Linked DNA regions of Saccharomyces cerevisiae S288C. The gene in region 1 interacts genetically with each later gene. Each region holds a gene or a part of one and is shown in the gene's direction. Other genes may lie near its edges.

Evidence for each region.
Region 2: mutations in PTC3 (region 1) and PRM2 together harm fitness more than expected from each alone (negative genetic interaction), as found in Saccharomyces cerevisiae (one large-scale study listed by BioGRID).
Region 3: mutations in PTC3 (region 1) and VAC7 together harm fitness more than expected from each alone (negative genetic interaction), as found in Saccharomyces cerevisiae (one large-scale study listed by BioGRID).

The regions. Positions count from the first base shown.
Region 1 is NC_001134.8:111,680-115,440, forward strand, and holds PTC3 (type 2C protein phosphatase PTC3), read left to right. Parts: upstream 1-2,082; coding exon 2,083-3,489; downstream 3,490-3,761. Other genes in the region: protein phosphatase regulator SHP1, read left to right, coding at 1-1,029; PTH2 (aminoacyl-tRNA hydrolase), read right to left, coding at 1,122-1,748.
Region 2 is NC_001141.2:282,927-286,687, reverse strand, and holds PRM2 (pheromone-regulated protein PRM2), read left to right. Parts: upstream 1-1,688; coding exon 1,689-3,659; downstream 3,660-3,761. Other genes in the region: CST6 (Cst6p), read right to left, coding at 1-1,022.
Region 3 is NC_001146.8:523,977-527,737, forward strand, and holds the start of VAC7 (Vac7p), read left to right. Parts: upstream 1-2,109; coding exon 2,110-3,761. UniProt on the Saccharomyces cerevisiae protein: The PI(3,5)P2 regulatory complex regulates both the synthesis and turnover of phosphatidylinositol 3,5-bisphosphate (PtdIns(3,5)P2). Positively regulates FAB1 kinase activity.

The DNA.
Region 1 (3,761 bases):
GAGCACGTTGGTGGGTTATGTCCAAAACCAGGATCCTCACAAGGTAGCAACGAGTACTTGAAAAGGAAAGGTTCTACCTCTCCTGAACCAACCAAGGGTAGTAGCCGCTCTGGAAGTGGTAACAACTCCAGGTTTATGAGCTTTTCGGATATGGTAAGAGGTCAAGCTGATGATGACGATGAAGATCAACCGAGAAATACTTTTGCTGGTGGTGAAACATCCGGCTTAGAGGTTACAGATCCTTCAGATCCTAATTCATTACTGAAGGATTTGCTGGAAAAAGCGAGAAGGGGTGGTCAAATGGGCGCTGAAAACGGATTCCGTGATGACGAAGACCATGAAATGGGTGCCAATAGGTTTACTGGAAGAGGTTTTAGATTAGGGTCAACCATCGACGCAGCAGATGAAGTCGTAGAAGACAACACTTCACAATCACAACGTAGACCAGAAAAAGTCACAAGAGAAATTACATTTTGGAAGGAAGGTTTTCAAGTGGCCGATGGTCCGCTTTATCGCTATGATGATCCTGCGAACAGTTTCTATTTGAGCGAGTTAAATCAAGGGAGGGCTCCATTAAAGCTCTTAGATGTGCAATTTGGACAAGAAGTTGAAGTTAATGTATATAAAAAATTAGATGAGTCTTATAAAGCTCCGACGAGAAAACTGGGCGGTTTTTCAGGCCAGGGCCAAAGACTAGGATCTCCTATCCCGGGTGAATCGTCACCTGCGGAGGTTCCAAAGAATGAGACACCCGCTGCTCAGGAACAACCCATGCCGGACAATGAGCCAAAACAAGGCGACACCTCCATCCAAATTAGATACGCAAATGGCAAAAGAGAAGTTTTGCACTGCAATTCCACAGATACAGTAAAGTTTTTGTATGAGCATGTGACATCAAATGCGAACACTGACCCATCGAGGAATTTCACCTTGAATTATGCCTTTCCTATCAAACCAATAAGCAACGATGAGACAACATTGAAGGACGCTGATCTGCTGAACTCCGTTGTCGTGCAAAGATGGGCATGAGCATAAATATACAAAAACAGAAACGGGAAAAGACTTCAACTTAATATATAAATGCACGTATATCTATACCCGTAGTATATATCATTTGTACCTCAATACAATTTCAAATCACCTGTTATTTGATCCAATACTGCTTTTGGAGCAGGTCCTAAACCCAATACGGTGGCACTTCCCGCAGCAATCTGTGTTCTACCAGCATCATGAATAACTGCTGCATTCACCCCAAGTGATATAGCCTTCGCATACAACTCGTCCATTGTAAACTTATCTGGACATTTCAACGTTATTTTAGCCTGTCCAGCATTTAGCCATCTTTGTGTCATAATTGGGTTGTATGAAGCACGCGCGGGGTTTGTAGCAATATGTCTAAAACATGACAATGCTGCGTGACAGCATTGTGCCGCTATTTTGCCCTTTGTCATGCCAAGATCTTGACGAATCACCAATGCCATCCTAACTTCTCCAGGTATATCATTCAATGAAGTGGACTCAATATCTTCGTCCTCATCGCTCTCATCTTCGCTTTCACTTTCCTCCTCATCAGTGTCATTGTGTAGCTTTCCTTCCTTCATTTCTTTAGAACGCAGTAAAGTAGCTGAGGATTTCTTAGTTGATGATGCGTTCGACGTACCCAACTGGTAACCCACGGCAAAGGAGATTGCGGTGAAAGTAGCCCATAAAGCTATGGTGTAATTCGAAGAAACTGTCATCTTTTCCATTAAAAAGACGTTATCATGTTACTCCGCTGTCAACAAGTAATATAGCAAGAAACAATTAGCTCTTATGCTTAAGAGCTTCTAGAAGAGTAGTAATAACCTTTAAACATTATTTTCGTCAGGCGTGATATCAGCGAGTTGAAGAAAAAACAACATGGGTTGTCCCTCAAGAGAATAAACTCAAAGGAGTAAAAGGTGTTTAGAGCTTGTTGGCTCGATTGTTGCCACCGGAAGGCCCCTTTCTGTTTTTAGACTATATTCATTTTACTTTTTGAAGTTTCTATTATAGGCAGACGAAGAAGGCCAAGAAGACAAATCGAAGAAAGAGAGAGATAACATGGGTCAAATATTGTCCAATCCAATTATCGACAAAGAGCATCATTCTGGTACGGACTGTTTGACAGCGTTTGGACTATGTGCCATGCAAGGCTGGCGTATGTCCATGGAAGATGCCCATATTGTTGAGCCGAACCTTTTGGCTGAGTCTGACGAGGAACATCTCGCATTTTATGGTATATTTGACGGTCATGGTGGTTCTTCTGTAGCGGAGTTTTGTGGCTCTAAAATGATATCTATACTGAAAAAACAGGAGAGCTTCAAGAGCGGTATGTTAGAGCAGTGCTTAATAGATACCTTTTTAGCTACAGATGTTGAGTTGTTGAAAGATGAAAAATTAAAAGATGACCATAGTGGTTGTACAGCAACTGTGATATTGGTATCTCAATTGAAAAAGCTACTAATTTGCGCCAATTCCGGTGATAGTAGAACAGTTCTATCTACTGGTGGTAATAGTAAAGCAATGTCATTTGATCATAAGCCCACATTGTTAAGTGAAAAATCTCGTATTGTAGCTGCTGATGGTTTTGTTGAGATGGACCGTGTTAATGGAAATTTAGCGTTATCAAGAGCCATAGGTGATTTTGAATTCAAATCTAACACAAAATTGGGACCTCATGAGCAAGTCGTTACATGTGTTCCTGATATCATTTGTCACAATTTGAATTATGATGAGGATGAATTTGTTATTTTAGCATGTGATGGTATTTGGGATTGTTTAACTTCTCAAGAGTGTGTTGACTTGGTTCACTACGGTATAAGTCAAGGTAATATGACGTTGAGCGACATTTCATCTAGAATCGTAGATGTTTGTTGTTCACCCACAACTGAAGGCTCAGGAATTGGCTGTGATAATATGAGTATTTCCATTGTTGCTTTACTAAAGGAAAATGAATCTGAGTCACAATGGTTTGAGCGTATGAGATCAAAAAATTACAATATCCAAACGTCTTTTGTCCAAAGAAGGAAAAGTATTTTTGATTTCCATGATTTTTCGGATGATGATAACGAAGTGTTCGCAATAACCACCAAAAAATTACAAGACCGCTTGAATCGTAGTAAAGATAATGACGACATGGAAATTGATGATCTTGATACCGAATTAGGCAGCAGTGCTACTCCCTCAAAGTTATCAGGTGAGGATAGAACTGGCCCTATTGACTTGTTTTCGTTGGAGGCTCTATTAGAAGCCGGGATTCAAATAAGGCAGAGGCCCAGCTCCGACAGTGACGGCAACACTTCTTATTTCCATGGTGCTTCTTTATCAGATATGTTGGCATCTTTAAGCAATGCGGCTGCAGGAGAAACAGAACCTAATGATGCTGATGATAACGATGATAACGACGGCGAAGAAAACGGCAAGAATGAAAATGCGAAGAAGGGTTCCAAGATTGAAGAAATTGAATAATAAATATTGTCGAACCGTACTTTGCAACGAAAGAGTAGTCAAACTTTGTTATCTTTATTTGTTATTCCTCTTCTGCCGATGGATTGTTTTTTACTGGATCATCTTTGCGGCCCATATTGAGGAGATGGTGAAATTCATAAAAATCATTACGAGAGAATGATAAATTGTAACAGAATTTATAAATCCTATTCATATAGATACATCTGTTTTTCCTTACTCTGTTTTTATTTTGTTGGTAACCTTTGAATCCTTTTTGATGAAAAAAATAGAAA
Region 2 (3,761 bases), on another chromosome or scaffold:
CCCAATGCGGAGTCCTTCGTGGGATTAATAACTTTTTTTGCATTGTATTGTGGAATACTACTAACCGGCACTGCTTGGTTGAAGACCGGCTTGTTTGATACATTCCTAGTTTGGCTCAGACCATTATAATTGTGAAAATTGGGCATCGGGGGCGGCTGTGTGTTGTGCAGGTTTTCCAAAGTTTCAATATCTTCGCCTAGCTGGCTTATTTGACCGTTAGAGATTGATATTCTTCTTCTTCTAATTGGCTCATCGCATCCAGGCAAAGAACTTTGGAAAATTGGTGGATTCGTCATAGGTAAATGTGCTACATCAACACCAAAAGGTTGAAAAAATGGCGACAATGTTTCCAGGATGGATGGATCGTTCAAGGCATGTGGGTTGTTATTCATATTCATGTTCATGAAATACATCTGCTTGTTCACAGAAGCCGTATTGGCGATGTTGGACGCATTAGTCGGGGCTGTAGTAGAATCATTCGGAGCGGACTTACGGGTAGACGACAGTTGGCTCAGATTTGTATGAGTGGCCAGATTCTGATGCATATCCTGTACGACACCAGAATTCATCAGAATATCACCGTAGAGTTGGGATTCCTCTTCAGTTTTCATAGAGGGTGACTGTTGTCGCTGATCCTGCTGTTGCTGTTGTCGAAGGTATGCAGCCTGCTGATAGTTTGAATTGGCGCTGGGTTTAACAACCCGATCATGCGAATTGACGTTTCCAGCTGCAATAGAATATTGTGGGGTTAAAGAATTTCTATTGGAAGTAGTATAATCATGTATTTGGTCAACCACACCAGCCATATTTGTGCTATAGTTTATGTCAGTAGGATCTAAGGATCTACTTAAAGCAGAATTGTTCATAGTAGAAGTGGTGGTGGCGGCGGCAGAAGTATCACTAACAGAGTGCGGTATCTTATTATTCAAGATCTTTGATGTGTCATCAATACCACGTTTATTGTTGTCTTTTTGCTTGTTGGAATTAGAGTCTACGGAATGATACTCCTGACCAGTAAACATTATCCTACCAAAAAGGTGTGGGCTTATACTTTTTTCTTTACTACTTTAGATCTTTTTAGATCCTTTTGAATCTTCCAATTGAAAGACTGCTTTAAAAGCGAGTTTTTGATTTAGAAACACCAACAGATACGTATACACGATAACCTCTATAGCGGTTCTATTTCTGTTAACAAGAAGGTACTTGAAAGTGATAACTCAAAAAACAAGAGTACAATATGAAAATCTTTTGCCTTCATTGTCATTGTCATTGAATCCCCGATTATCATTGTCAGCAATTTCGGAGAAGGGGGCAACTATGTTCCGTGTAAGGTGATATTACTCAAATGTGTCACAATTTCAACTTCTGGGAATAATATTTATAATAGTTGAGATTATTCTTGATTATAGAGGCGACAGCTTATCTTAATTTTCGCCAATAGGTTTGGAAGAACATTGGTATTTTCATTCGGTGCAGCATTTTAATTCAGAATTATAACCGTCCTTGTACGGTTATAACAGCACATTATTGAAAAATGTTTTAAAAATGTTTCAGCCCAGTAATAAAACATTTACATATGCTATCTTGGCCCTTTATATAACATGTAAAGCAAAAAACTAGAACACTAACATGGCTTAAGTAGCTGAAAATCTACACCACTTTTCGATAAAACTAAGAGTACGGCAAAGATGAACAATGTACACATAATTAAACCTTTATCACTTCCACAGAGGTTTTTTAGTTGTATTTTCCATCCTCTATTACTGATATTCTTTACTTCTGTTATTTTAACTATTTGGGGTTCCTTTTCAGTCATTGACATTACAATGGCAAAAATGTCTCACGCACAGGTCAAACGAAATGATACCGTCTCAACCTTTGCATCTATTTCAACTGCTACAGCGACAGCCACAACAACGGCCACAACAACGGCCACAATGACAGCAGTCACAACACAGCATGCCATATATTCTGCCAACAGTTACTCTTTAAATAAAACATTCATTGATAATACAATTGATCAGTATTTCGAAAGCAAACTACGGAGTATTGAATCTACGGTAGGTACGGATATGCAAGAAAAATTCAAGTCATACACAGACGACATACTGGATAATAAACAAAAACTTATCAACGACCAAATAAGTTTGGAAACTGAATTGATTAAGGAAGTTCTTGAGGTAAACAATACAATTTTTAACGAACTACTCACTAAATCACAGCTGATAAATGACACATGGAATGAAATATCAGAAGACGCAATGACCATTGATAAGGATTCCATTTCACAAATGGCATCAAACCTACTGTTAAATTACTCCATGTTTGACAGTATTTTTGGGAACTACTCAAGGAAATTGAAATCATTGCAGAACTTCAATGGCACTATCACTGACTTTTCTACTCAATTAGATACCTCTAGTACCTTAAGTTTGAATTTTCTACGAAATTCCACTGACTGGCTTCAGTTGAAAAGGAACTTTACTGCAAACTTACAGAATGAAATTTCCATTTTATCTGGGGGGAGTACCGAGGTTACATCGTCTACTTCAATAATTAAACGGTCTCTGAAAACAAATAGCGAGGAAAACAGTGTACTAAGTGCAGTAAAAAATCACGTTTTCCGTAAATGTAAGAGAATGACAATAATTTTCACAGTCATGTACTTTGCATTTGTGATTTTGCTCATGGCAATCGAAAGAATTCTGTTTCAGCTGGAAAATCAGCAAGTAAACCTGGTTATGTCCCAAATTAATGGCCTGACAGGACAAACCAATTTTACTAAATACAACAAAGTTTTGAAAAGCTTAATTACTACTCTGAATCTCAGTACACTTTATCCAATTCCCTACCAATTAACAAAGCTTATCAATCAAAAAATATTTAAAAGAGAACCAGAAAAAATCGATGACAAAAAAGTCAAAAAATCAAAACTATTTTACTGTAACTGGTGGATAATCTCAAATGGGGCTCACCTGTGGCTGTTTGGTTTTTTGATGTTATTAATTCATTGGCAGATAGTGACGCGATTAACAAACTTTGAAGTACCCAGTTTGCCTACATTCCACAAAAGAGCGGGACCTTCGCTATACAAAAGGGAAGTTTGGACAGATGGAAATATAACAACTACGATAGAGGGTTTCATTAATGACAGCGTATCATTATTGTGTGAAAATTTCCAAATGGAAGTGAATGAAAAGTTCATTACAGCAAATTTAAGCCTTCAAACTGACCCCAATTTGAAAGTGCAATCAACGGACATCCTAAATCTTTGGGTTAACGACACAAACACTCAGTTTGAAAAATATCTTAATGAGAGTTCTCAAAATTGGCAGGGGATAGACCTGCAGGTTGAGCCTCTGTTAGGCAGCGATTCAATTAATGAGTTCCTGGGTCAGTATTTCCTACCGACATACGAAGTTACGAATACAAATTCTTCATTTGCACTGGACATTCAAAAATATGGTATAATTAATCGAGGAATTAATATAACCAACGCATCGGTAGCGGCATTGTCTTCACTGTCAAAACGCCAAATAAAGGATAAGGAGCAAAAACAAACGTACTTTTTACACACTGTTTATAAGTGGGGACTTTTAGCAGTTTGCCTGACTATATTGTTCCACCACATGCTTATATTTATAATATTAAAGTTGTAAGTATCGTATTATCGTCACCTTCCACGAGCGGTCTCGCAATTTTCGCTGAGTGAAAAACTTGTGAAAGATACCTTGATTTTATGTAATAGTAGCTTAATTCAC
Region 3 (3,761 bases), on another chromosome or scaffold:
AGGTCTTTATATAGACCAGGATGAACTAGAAATAGATGAAGATGAATACAAAGAGAAGGTACATGAAATGCAAAAGTTGATTGGTCTAGCTTCATATGTTGGATATAAATTTAGATTTGACTTACTATACTACATCAACACACTTGCTCAACATATACTATTCCCCTCTAGGCAAGTTTTAGACATGACATATGAGTTAATACAATTCATGTGGGACACTAGAGATAAACAACTGATATGGCACAAAAACAAACCTACCAAGCCAGATAATAAACTAGTCGCAATAAGCGATGCTTCATATGGTAACCAACCATATTACAAGTCACAAATTGGTAACATTTTCCTACTCAACGGAAAAGTGATTGGAGGAAAGTCGACAAAGGCTTCGTTAACATGCACTTCAACTACAGAAGCAGAAATACACGCAGTCAGTGAAGCTATTCCGCTATTGAATAACCTCAGTCACCTTGTGCAAGAACTTAACAAGAAACCAATTATTAAAGGCTTACTTACTGATAGTAGATCAACGATCAGTATAATTAAGTCTACAAATGAAGAGAAATTTAGAAACAGATTTTTTGGCACAAAGGCAATGAGACTTAGAGATGAAGTATCAGGTAATAATTTATACGTATACTACATCGAGACCAAGAAGAACATTGCTGATGTGATGACAAAACCTCTTCCGATAAAAACATTTAAACTATTAACTAACAAATGGATTCATTAGATCTATTACATTATGGGTGGTATGTTGGAATAAAAATCAACTATCATCTACTAACTAGTATTTACGTTACTAGTATATTATCATATACGGTGTTAGAAGATGACGCAAATGATGAGAAATAGTCATCTAAATTAGTGGAAGCTGAAACGCAAGGATTGATAATGTAATAGGATCAATGAATATTAACATATAAAACGATGATAATAATATTTATAGAATTGTGTAGAATTACAGATTTCCTTTTATGGATTCCTAAATCCTCGAGGAGAACTTCTAGTATATTCTGTATACCTAATATTATAGCCTTTATCAACAATGGAATCCCAACAATTATCTCAACATTCACCCATTTCTCAAAACTATCACGGAATACTAATCGAAGACTAGTGACGCACGTTACGCTATAGCAACAACGTCACAAGGATAACGTTAGTAGTTTTTTGGAAGGACAATTGCAAACTATATGTAAACGAACGAAGACACACAGTCCAAAGCTGTAACAACAACCACATATATAAATGGTAGTCTTCTAGGAAACTTCACTGTAAGATTAGATACGTAGAGGTGAAAGACAAGTTGAAGTTTGGATCGGAAGTTCCATTAATATTTGGGTAAGTAAGTTCGCCGCGCGGCAGAAACGGTGAGTACTTACTCACTTTTGTTCTAACTACAACAAAAAACTGTAAAAGTGGTGTAAGGTTTACGTTCCGTTTTGGTTGCAAATCATCAGCCCTGGTTTAAGCTTTATGTCCAACATTGGTTAGCGAAGGCACCGTACTGGTCTCGATGTCGGTGAGCAGGGGCGGCGAAATTCATTCCAATCTTGGATAATATATATGTATATATCTATACACGCGGCGAGATCTTGTCCTCTAATTTCCCTTCGCTAAATCATTAAGAGGTCATTCATGAAGTTAATTCAGCACCAAAGTTGGACTGTTAGACACGAGATACACATTGCAGTCCAAATGTGCAGATTTTTCAGATAATTGTCGTCGCACAAGACTGCCCCTCCCGTCCTCAGACAGACACAAAATTAGATTTTACGTTTACATAAAGATGTACATAACTTGAAAAAACGTTAATCCCTCTTAAATTTAGACCTTGTAAGTCTTCCTGGCCACTCTTTGTGATATATTGTAGTGCAATATATTGATTCGTTCTTCTTATTTCTTTGTTCTTAGGCATTTCCGCTTTAGAAAATTCGTTGGGTGGTTTCTGCGACGGGTATCCCCTTCGATTTTGCATAATGATCTTCAATTCTACAACTAAAATCAAGTAGATACAGGAAAATATTCCATAAATTATAGTGTAAATCGCCCTGTATACACCTTATCGTTTCATCTCAGGCAAGTTAAAGCATTTGGGAAACGTGCTAGATGACAGAAGAAGATAGAAAGCTCACTGTAGAGACAGAAACAGTTGAGGCACCCGTGGCAAATAATCTTTTATTGTCGAATAACAGTAATGTAGTAGCACCTAATCCTTCTATTCCCTCTGCCTCCACATCTACCTCTCCGCTACACAGGGAAATAGTTGATGATTCTGTCGCTACTGCTAACACCACCAGCAACGTTGTACAGCATAATTTGCCCACCATAGATAACAATTTAATGGATTCCGATGCCACGTCACATAATCAAGATCATTGGCATTCAGACATAAACAGGGCAGGAACATCAATGTCAACGAGTGATATCCCAACAGATTTACATTTAGAACATATCGGCTCTGTTTCATCAACTAATAATAATAGTAACAATGCCCTAATCAACCACAACCCTCTGTCATCTCATCTTTCCAATCCGTCATCTTCATTACGAAACAAGAAGAGCTCTTTGTTGGTAGCTTCTAACCCTGCGTTTGCTTCAGATGTTGAACTCTCGAAGAAGAAACCTGCCGTCATCTCCAATAATATGCCTACAAGTAACATTGCCCTTTATCAAACAGCGAGATCGGCGAATATTCATGGTCCATCATCAACTTCCGCATCTAAAGCGTTCAGAAAGGCTTCGGCCTTCTCCAATAACACGGCACCCAGCACTAGTAATAACATCGGCTCGAATACACCTCCAGCTCCTCTTTTACCTCTACCTTCACTATCACAACAAAATAAGCCAAAAATAATAGAGAGGCCCACAATGCACGTCACTAATTCAAGAGAAATACTTTTAGGTGAAAACCTGTTAGATGATACAAAGGCGAAGAATGCTCCCGCGAATTCAACCACACACGATAATGGTCCAGTAGCAAATGATGGGCTGCGTATACCGAATCACTCGAACGCAGATGATAATGAAAATAACAACAAAATGAAGAAGAATAAAAACATTAATAGTGGGAAAAATGAACGTAATGATGACACCAGCAAAATATGCACTACATCTACTAAAACAGCGCCTTCAACCGCACCTTTGGGCAGTACAGACAATACTCAGGCTCTCACTGCTAGTGTCTCCAGCAGTAATGCTGACAATCACAATAATAACAAGAAGAAAACCAGCAGCAACAACAACGGCAATAACAGTAATAGTGCATCCAATAAAACCAATGCCGATATCAAGAATTCTAACGCCGACTTGAGCGCTTCTACCTCTAACAATAATGCAATAAATGACGACTCACATGAGAGTAATTCAGAAAAACCAACAAAGGCGGATTTTTTCGCTGCAAGGCTGGCTACAGCTGTAGGTGAAAATGAAATTAGTGATTCTGAGGAAACATTTGTTTATGAATCGGCAGCTAATTCGACTAAAAACCTAATATTTCCTGACTCCTCCAGCCAGCAGCAGCAGCAGCAACAGCAACCTCCAAAACAACAGCAACAGCAACAAAATCATGGAATAACCTCAAAGATAAGCGCCCCATTGCTAAACAATAACAAAAAATTATTAAGCCGACTGAAAAATTCAAGACATATTAGCACTGGTGCCATATTGAATAACACAATCGCGACTATAAGCACAAATCCGAACTTGAATTCTAATGTGATGCAGAACAATAACAATCTGATGTCGGGACACAATCACCT